2 linked regions of the Canis lupus familiaris genome follow. The main gene of each other region encodes a partner of the protein of the gene in region 2 in a complex. Links are inferred from orthologs where the notes say so. Each region holds a gene or a part of one and is shown on either strand. Other genes may lie near its edges. The genes, in order: CSF3 and CSF3R.

Region 1 (3,900 bases), on a different chromosome or scaffold from region 2:
CCTGCCCCCCAGTTCCAAACCCACCCCTCTGCTGCCGCAGAGCTGGGCACAGAGCTGGCCCCAATCAGCGCATGGTGACCAGCTACCCAGCGGGAGGTGGAAGTGGGGAGCACCCTGAGGCCCTGGGAGGACAGGGGACTAGAGGCAGGATGCGAGTCAACAGGTGAAGGCCCTGCCAGCTGTGGCCACCAGGGGGCACCCCCGCCCCAGAGATGCCCTCACCCAGACAGACACACCCACTCCTCATCAAAAGGTGTCCTTCCTTGGCTGGTGCTGGGGTAAATTGAGACAGAAAGTGACAGCCTTGGGCGTGGCAGGGCAGCCAGCTAGGCCGGCCCGTGGCCGTGGGAAACCTTCAAGTCTGATCTGAGGCCCAGGCTGCAACCCTGAGTCGGAATCGGCTCTCCTTGACCTTAGGCTAGGCCCTTCCCTCTCCGGCCCAGTTCATGGGGTTTAGAACCGAATCAGAGACTGGCGCGGTTCTGGGGTTTGGGGCTAGGGCAATTTCTTCTCTCTGCCCCCCAGCCGTTCTCCGCCTCAGGGCAGCGCACACTCTGGCAGGCAGTGACCGGGAAGCCACGTCAGGGACCTTCCCCCAGCTCCCAAGTGCTGGGACACCACTGGAGGGAGGGGGAGCGCAGGAGGAGGAGGAAGGGCAAGGTCAGGTGAACCCAGAGCCCCAGAACCTCAAGGGTCTTGCTTCATTTGGGACAGACATCCGGTTTCCTTTGGTTTCTGCCAGGATTCCGGGGGCTTGGAGGAATGAGTCATGGGGGGGAGTGGGGGGTTCCCAGCTAACCAGTTCAAGATAGGGACCTGGGATGGTGCCCATCAAAGTATGGGGTGGAGACAGGAGGCTAGATCCCAACGGCCCCATCTCAGGCCCCTGGCCTCTCAGGAGGGGGACTCAGGAAAGCAGCCTCTTGGGAGTTTGAGGGGTAGAAAGGGGGGCAACTAGCTTCTTCCCTCCAACTCTAGACTCTAGAGTCTAGGGAACAGGTAGCTCGGGGATCCCAAGGGGGGTAGCGCCAGGGGGCTACTCCCGCAGATCAGGCAGGGGAGGGAGGGAGGGAGGGAGAGAGGGAGGGAGGGAAAGAGGGAGGGAGGGAGGGAGGGAGGGAGGAAGGGGCTGTCCCTGGCCTGCCTGGGCAGTGTGGGCCTGACTGGCCTCCAGGCTCCTTGGCTCTTATCTGTGGCTCAAGCTCACTTAGTTCAGTGCTTCAGATCAAACACCCTGGGGCAATTCGGCCTGGGCGGGGCTGAGGGGAGGAAGAGTGTGAGGGGGATCAGACGTCAAAGAACGATCAGAGATTCCACAATTTCACAAAACTTTCGCAAACAGCTTTTTGTCCCAGTGCCCCCCTACATTGTCCTGACACCAAATTTGCATAAATCCTAGGAAATTATTACTAAGCCCTGGTCGTGGCACCAGGTAATTTCCTCCCGGGCCTCCATGGGCTCCTCTATAAAGGCCCTCTGGAGCCCGTCCCTGCCAGAGCCCAGAGCCTGCAGACCCACCCAGACCTTCGGCTAAGCCTGCAGCCCAGAGCCCCATGAAGCTGACCGGTGAGTGTCCTGGCCCCAGGGAGGGAGGCTGGAGTGGCAGAGGGCTGGGAGGGCCCCCGGGCCCTGCAGTGGACCGCAGGGCTCCTGAGCCCCCCACCCCATCTGCTCTCAGCCCTGCAGCTGCTGCTGTGGCACAGCGCACTCTGGATGGTGCAAGAAGCCGCCCCCCTGGGCCCTACCGGCCCCCTGCCCCAGAGCTTCCTGCTCAAGTGCCTAGAGCAAATGAGGAAGGTCCAGGCTGATGGCACGGCGCTGCAGGAGACTCTGGTGAGGGAGAGCACCGGAGGGGACCTCGGGGCTGGGAAGGGGGACCCAGAGCGGACAGCTGAGGGCAGGCACAGGGGGGAAGAGCTGAGGGTGGGAAAGGGAATGGAGAGAAGATATGATCAGGGAGGGACGTGGGAGAGGAGAGACCCAAGGGAAAGGGAAGAAACTCAGAGGTGGAGCCATGGAAGCCTGGCTAGGAACCGGGGAACAGAGTGCTCAGGGACAGGGCTCAGAGCAGCTGCTGGCTGGCGGGCCGGCCTGCCAGGATCGCTGTGGAGGGCAGGATGGGGCTGAGCAGCCTGGCAGCGGCCTGGGAGGGCTGGGAGAGAGGGGAAGACCTGGGAGAGACGGGGAAGGTTAGGAAACAGGAGCAGCCGTGGCCCTGTCAGGTGCCCCTCACTCAGCATCCTTACTGTCCCCAGTGTGCCACCCACCAGCTGTGCCATCCTGAGGAGTTGGTGCTGCTCGGGCACGCTCTGGGCATCCCCCAGCCTCCCCTGAGCAGCTGCTCCAGCCAGGCCCTGCAGCTGGTGAGTTTCTGGAGGGGAGGAGGGCAACAAGGAGAGGGAAGGATGGTCTGGAAGTCTCCCTGGACCCCCAGGCTCCAATGTGGGGCCCTGAGAGGAGCGTCCCAGGCAGCACGTCCTGACTCCTCTACTCCATCCCCCAGATGGGCTGCCTGCGTCAACTCCACAGCGGCCTCTTCCTCTACCAGGGCCTCCTGCAGGCCCTGGCAGGGATATCCCCCGAGTTAGCGCCCACCTTGGACACACTGCAGCTGGACACCACCGACTTTGCCATCAACATCTGGCAGCAGGTGAGCCTCATGGGAAGTGGCAAGCCTTAGGGGCCTGGATGGAGCCGGTCCCCAAAGATCAGGCTGCAAGCCTGGGATCCCGGTTCTTTAGGGCCAGGGTGAGAGCATTCCCAGGGTGTGTGTCGGGAGCTACCACTCCATCCCAGGCCCCTCTTGCTGCTGGCCCTTCCCCGCTCTCCCTGGATGAGGGCAGGAACCAGGTCACTGGACCCTGAAACAGACCTGGGTTCAAGGCCTGACTCCACCATTAACTGCGTGGTGTCACCTTCCATGGCCTGTCACCCCTTTGCATTTCCTTATTCAAAAATGCCCACTCAGCAGGGCCTGATTGCAGATCTCATCTTTCCCCCCACAGATGGAAGATCTAGGAATGTCCCCCGCCGTGCCACCTACCCAGGGCACCATGCCAGCCTTCACCTCGGCCTTCCAGCGCCGGGCAGGAGGTGTCCTGGTGGCCTCCAACCTGCAGAGCTTCCTGGAGCTGGCATATCGCGCTCTGCGCCACTTTGCCAAACCCTGAGCAAAACCCTCCCCAGCCAGTGTATTTATCTTTATTTAATATTTATGTTTATTTAAATCTAATATTTAAAGATGAGGACAAACAGAAAGGAGCCCTGCACTCTTGGGTCCTTCCTGCCGTCTCTGAGTTTCATTGTCCTGCTTTTGCAGGGAGAAAAGCCCCTGTCTTCCTGTCCCCTGGACGGGGAGGTAGATAGGTAAATACCAAGTATTGATTCCTGTGACTGCTCCCTGGCCTGGCTCTGTGGTGGGCACTGGGTAGAATCCCAGTGACCCCCTTACCCCAAGGGTACCCACCTTGAGGCCCATGGAAGCATCAGGAAGTCTTCCAGGTGGGAGACAAAACAACCCTGTTTAATATTTAAACAGCAGTGTTCCCCTACTGGGTGCCCCCCCACTCTGGCCTCACCAACTTGGCTTGCACGTGCCAGGTGGGCTGTCTCGCTTCTCCTCACGTCCCCTTCCCCACAGGCATCAAACCCGGCAGAGGCAGCCAAAGTGGGGAGGCTTGACCCTGGGGTCCCACGAATGTGCTGGGGAATCTAGTTTTTAAGACGTTTTCGGGAATATTTTGACTTCCAGTTATGGGGAGCCTCGGCATCACTCTCTCCTCTTTCTCGATGCCCTATGGCAACAATGACAAGATCCTGACACCTGCCCCACTCTCACCAGGGTCAGGATTCTGACCCTTCAAGGGCTGGCCAGCGGGTCGTGTGTTGGCCCTACTGAGG
Region 2 (3,900 bases):
CACCCTGGTGGAGAGGTTTTCTAGGTTGGCAGGAGATTTTGTTTTTTAATGTTTTATTTATTTATTTAAATTTTATTTAAAAATTTTTTTAATGTTTTATTTTTAAGTAATCTTTACAACCAGTGTGGGGCTCAAACTCACAACCCCAAGATCAAGATTTGCATGCTCCACACACTGAGCCAGCCAGGCGCCCCAGTAGATGGTTTTATTTGTTTTTCTCCAACACAGCAAGGATAGTCTTTTCTGAGGTCTCTTCTCCTGTCCCACAGCACTTTGTGATCCCTGCCTCAGTCCTGGCCACTCTGCCCTAATGGGCAGTCTTCGAGTCTCTACCACTAGAATGCGAACTCTTTGAGGGCGGACTGAGCCAAGTCATTTTTGAATCCCCGCTGCCAGCACAGGGCCTACATGCTGGGTGAGGGCTGGGGGGATTAATGAGCAAAGGAAGGAATATGCAAATGAACACTTCTGATAAGTACCCCCATCACTGCTAGGACCCTAAAAAGGAAAAGGACAGAGGTGCGGGCGTACTCAAGAGTTTCTCAAAATCAAACCAAACCAAACCATGAACCAGTTTAAGAGACTGAGATTACAGGAAATAAGCACAAGAGGCTAGTGGGCAGGGTTGGACGAAGCATTCCGTGGCCACTAAATTAAGGGCCCAGCCTGTGGGGACTGGAGAGAGAGACGAAGGATGCTGGGGGCCAGAGATGGGGAGGAGACCCTGTAGCCTTACTGCCCTTCTGGGACTAGGTGGTTTTTTGCATGATGGGCTTACTAATACTCTCCTCTCCTCTGGATGGCCCAGACCTCTCAAGAGACAGGCCCAAGTGGGGGTCCCAGGGGATGCTAGATGCCCCCCAGCCCCTCCACCCCATGGACCTGGAGCCCTTGCAGGAGGGGGAAGTCAAGCAGTGGCCCAAAGACACAGTCATCCTCCTGGTTTGGGACGAGGGGCTCTGGGGTGCCCAGGGGGCTGGTCTGGAACCAGAGGTTCTCATAAAACTTGGGACTGGGAGTAAGGCCCCCTAAGAGGGGCTGAGTAGAGTCACAACGGAGGTAGTGCCCTGGACCTGGGCTGGTGGGGCTGCCCAACACCTTCCCGTAGAGGACCTGGTCACTGGTGCCGGACTGGGGCTGGGTCTGGGTGGAACATGCTCTTGGGTCCCCCTGGAGCACGTAGGCCTGGACCAGGGTGGGGAGGCCACAGGTCCCTGAGCTGTCATTTGACTCCCAGGGCCCTGGCTTCTTCTCCTCTTCCTCCAGCACTGTGATCTTGGTGATGGGTGGCATGCCAGTGTCCCGAAGGCTGGGCAGCTGGAAGGTCTCCTGGACACAAGGACGGGGGGTGAGGACGTGATTCATCTGAGACATTCGTCCCAACCAGTGTCCCTTCCTGAGTTGGGGACAGTTGAGATATTCCTGCTGCGCTCTGCTGGAACCCCTGAGGATGATGCTTGTGAAGCACCTCATGCTTTTCTGACACCTGCTCTGCACTTCAGACTTAGCTTAAGGTGCTTGTCCCCAAGGATTGTGTGGGAGATATGTCCCATTTCACAGTGAGATGGCCGAGGCTTTGAAATGGGTAGAGTTGGGATCCAAAGTGAGATTTGCTTTACTCCGGAGGGAGGGGACCTTGCTAGGAAGTGATGGGAAGGCCTGAGTCCTCATCCTTGGAGGGGTTTCCTTTCACTTGGATCCTGGACCAGCACCCCCCGGCCCCATTTCCCTCTCCCTCTGGGGTTCTCACCTCCACCATGATGCTCGGCACCCAGGAGCCCAGGCTGCTGTGGGCTGGGTCTGGGACACTTGGCCAGAGAGGATTCTTTCTGCTGCAAAAGAGGACAGGAGAGGGCCAGGTCAGGCTTGCCCTCCATCTTTCCATCCTTTCTCTCACCCACTCCCAGCAGCGGAAGGCCCCTTGGGCAGAGAGGAGATGGTGCAGTGCCTGATCCAGACGTGGGCCCTGAGGCCTGTGAGGGCGAGGAGGGACTTGGATTGGCCCACCCCAGCCTGCAGTTCCCTGTGGGCAGGGGCAGGTAGGTATTAATTCTCTTAAAAGGACTCACCTGAAAAAAAAAAAAAAAAAAGGACTTACCTGGGTCTGCAGCAGAGCCGGGCAGCCCCGCAGAGACAGATGAACAAGAGCAGGAATCCAAAGAGGCCCAGGAGGACATGCAGCTCAGACTCCTCTGGGGTGAAGGGAAAGCCAGAAGGGGTTAGAGTGCACGCAAGGAAGGCTGGGCCTCTTCCGTCACACTGGGCTCTGAGGGCAGGATTGGGCCTCCTCCCTCAGGCTGAGCTTCATGGGCAGGTCTGGGTCTCCTCCCTCAGACCAGCGGATCCAGGCAAGGCCTCAAAATGAGAGATCCGTTGGCCGAGGAACCTTCCCAACAACCTTGTCTGGCCGGCCCCCTTCTCGCCTTACCTAGGGCCAAGGTCATCAGGGTAAGGCTTGTGCTGTTGGTGGCGCCGGCCTTACTGGTAGCCCTGAGGAGGACGTGGTACAAGCTGGCGGGCTCCAAGCCGTGGAGGACCAAGCCGTGGGAGGAGGCATTGAGCACAGTGGCTGGGAGTAGAAGAGAATGGTCAGCCTGGGCCCAGATGCCGAGGCTCCCTCTGCGGCTGCTGAGCGCTCCCCCCGAGGCCTTCTGGGGCTGTGGGGTACTGAGGATAGACTCACAGAAGGACTGGCCCCGAGCAGAAGACGTCCAGAAGACGGTGTAGTGGGTAAGGGGGCTCTTCCCTAGCTCAGAGGGCAGGGGCACCCACTCCAGCCGGGCCCAGGTCTTGCCAATGTGCTTTAGATGCAGCTCTGGGGCGCGGGAGGGGGCTGCCGGGAGAGAGAGAGGTACAGGGGCTGCCGGGGAGCTGGGCAGAGTGGGGAGCCCAGCTGGACACCTCGCGACTCCCCAGACCCCAGAACTGAGACACACTGTGCTGAGGAGTAAGGAAACGGCCCCCCTGGTGTTGCCGGGACCTTCAGCTGCATTCCATAGACTGCTAATAAGTGGCCAGGTCGGGACTGGAACCCGCTTCTCTTTGCTTCCGAAGCCTCACCACCCCACGTCCACCGGCTTGGTTTAGTTGGGCTCGCTGTCTGATTTCTGCCCCTCGCCCTCTGACTTTATGCCAGGCCCTCCGTCTAATTTCTGCCGCAGCTGACACTTGATTTCTTTCAAGGGTGATTGATGGACTTTTGCCAGACCTGCTGCCAAACTCACTCCCTAGTTTCTGTCACCCGGCCGCCTGACCTGTCCGGCTGCAGAGGTCTGGGGCTAGCCTGGGGTAATGTTGGGGTTGGGAGAGAGCTTCTTTGGGGCCAGGGGTGGGGGGATGTTCCCTCATAGTCCCAATGGCCGGGGCCCCAGCAGGCACTGAGAGGAGAGGGTTCTGGGGAGGCCTGGTGGCTGACGCACCCATCTCTTGGGAGTAGGCATAGATGTGTCGGGAGGGCCCCACGCTGTCCTGGTATAGGGGGGTCACAGTGATCTCGTAGAGCTGAAAGGGCCTGATGTTCTCTGTGGAGAGAAAATGGGGTAGGGCGCCCCGGTGAGGGCCTAACCCCCCCGTGGATGATCAGGAGCTGACCCCAGATCCCCCAGGCCTCAGGCTGCAGAGCTAGCTGCTTCTATCTCTTCTGCGGATCATTTGATGGGAGGGAGGGCAGAAAAGTGGGGAGAGCTAGAAGGGTGGGAGGGTCAGGGCTGTGAAAAGAGAAGATCTGGTTACGGGTTACGGTGAAAGAAGAACTTCCTGATTCTGGGGATGGGAGAGGACAGTAAAGGATCAAGAAAGAGTGAGGAGTCTGCTTCTCTAGGGTGGTTCGGGTGGCCCCTCGCTTCCCGTCAGACAAGTGTTGCCTCCCTGCTTCCCAGGCCCTGCTCACCGCCCGCTCCA

What was found.
Region 1: the proteins of CSF3R (region 2) and CSF3 are in contact, whole or in part, in a crystal structure (PDB 2D9Q), measured with the Homo sapiens proteins. The link is inferred for Canis lupus familiaris from reciprocal best matches to the Homo sapiens genes CSF3R and CSF3. Residues at the interface, in NP_000751.1 of Homo sapiens: Arg164, Arg190, Lys191, Leu193, Leu194, Leu195, Tyr196, Gln197, Asp220, Met222, His261, Ile262, Asn263, Arg311, Pro313, Leu314; in NP_000750.1 of Homo sapiens: Ser42, Leu45, Lys46, Glu49, Gln50, Arg52, Lys53, Leu141, Asp142, Asp145, Thr148, Thr149, Gln152.

The regions. Positions count from the first base shown.
Region 1 is NC_049230.1:22,479,720-22,483,619, reverse strand, and holds the start of CSF3 (granulocyte colony-stimulating factor), read left to right. Parts: upstream 1-1,244; 5' UTR 1,245-1,553; coding exon 1,554-1,566; intron 1,567-1,678; coding exon 1,679-1,833; intron 1,834-2,255; coding exon 2,256-2,363; intron 2,364-2,503; coding exon 2,504-2,650; intron 2,651-3,005; coding exon 3,006-3,170; 3' UTR 3,171-3,900. UniProt on the Homo sapiens protein: Granulocyte/macrophage colony-stimulating factors are cytokines that act in hematopoiesis by controlling the production, differentiation, and function of 2 related white cell populations of the blood, the granulocytes and the monocytes-macrophages.
Region 2 is NC_049236.1:5,900,436-5,904,335, reverse strand, and holds the end of CSF3R (granulocyte colony-stimulating factor receptor), read right to left. Parts: intron 3,561-3,900; coding exon 3,420-3,560; intron 2,834-3,419; coding exon 2,684-2,833; intron 2,570-2,683; coding exon 2,429-2,569; intron 2,193-2,428; coding exon 2,099-2,192; intron 2,040-2,098; exon of another isoform or gene 1,908-2,039; intron 1,833-1,907; coding exon 1,751-1,832; intron 1,515-1,750; exon of another isoform or gene 1,330-1,514; coding exon 850-1,329; 3' UTR 188-849; downstream 1-187. UniProt on the Homo sapiens protein: Receptor for granulocyte colony-stimulating factor (CSF3), essential for granulocytic maturation. Plays a crucial role in the proliferation, differentiation and survival of cells along the neutrophilic lineage.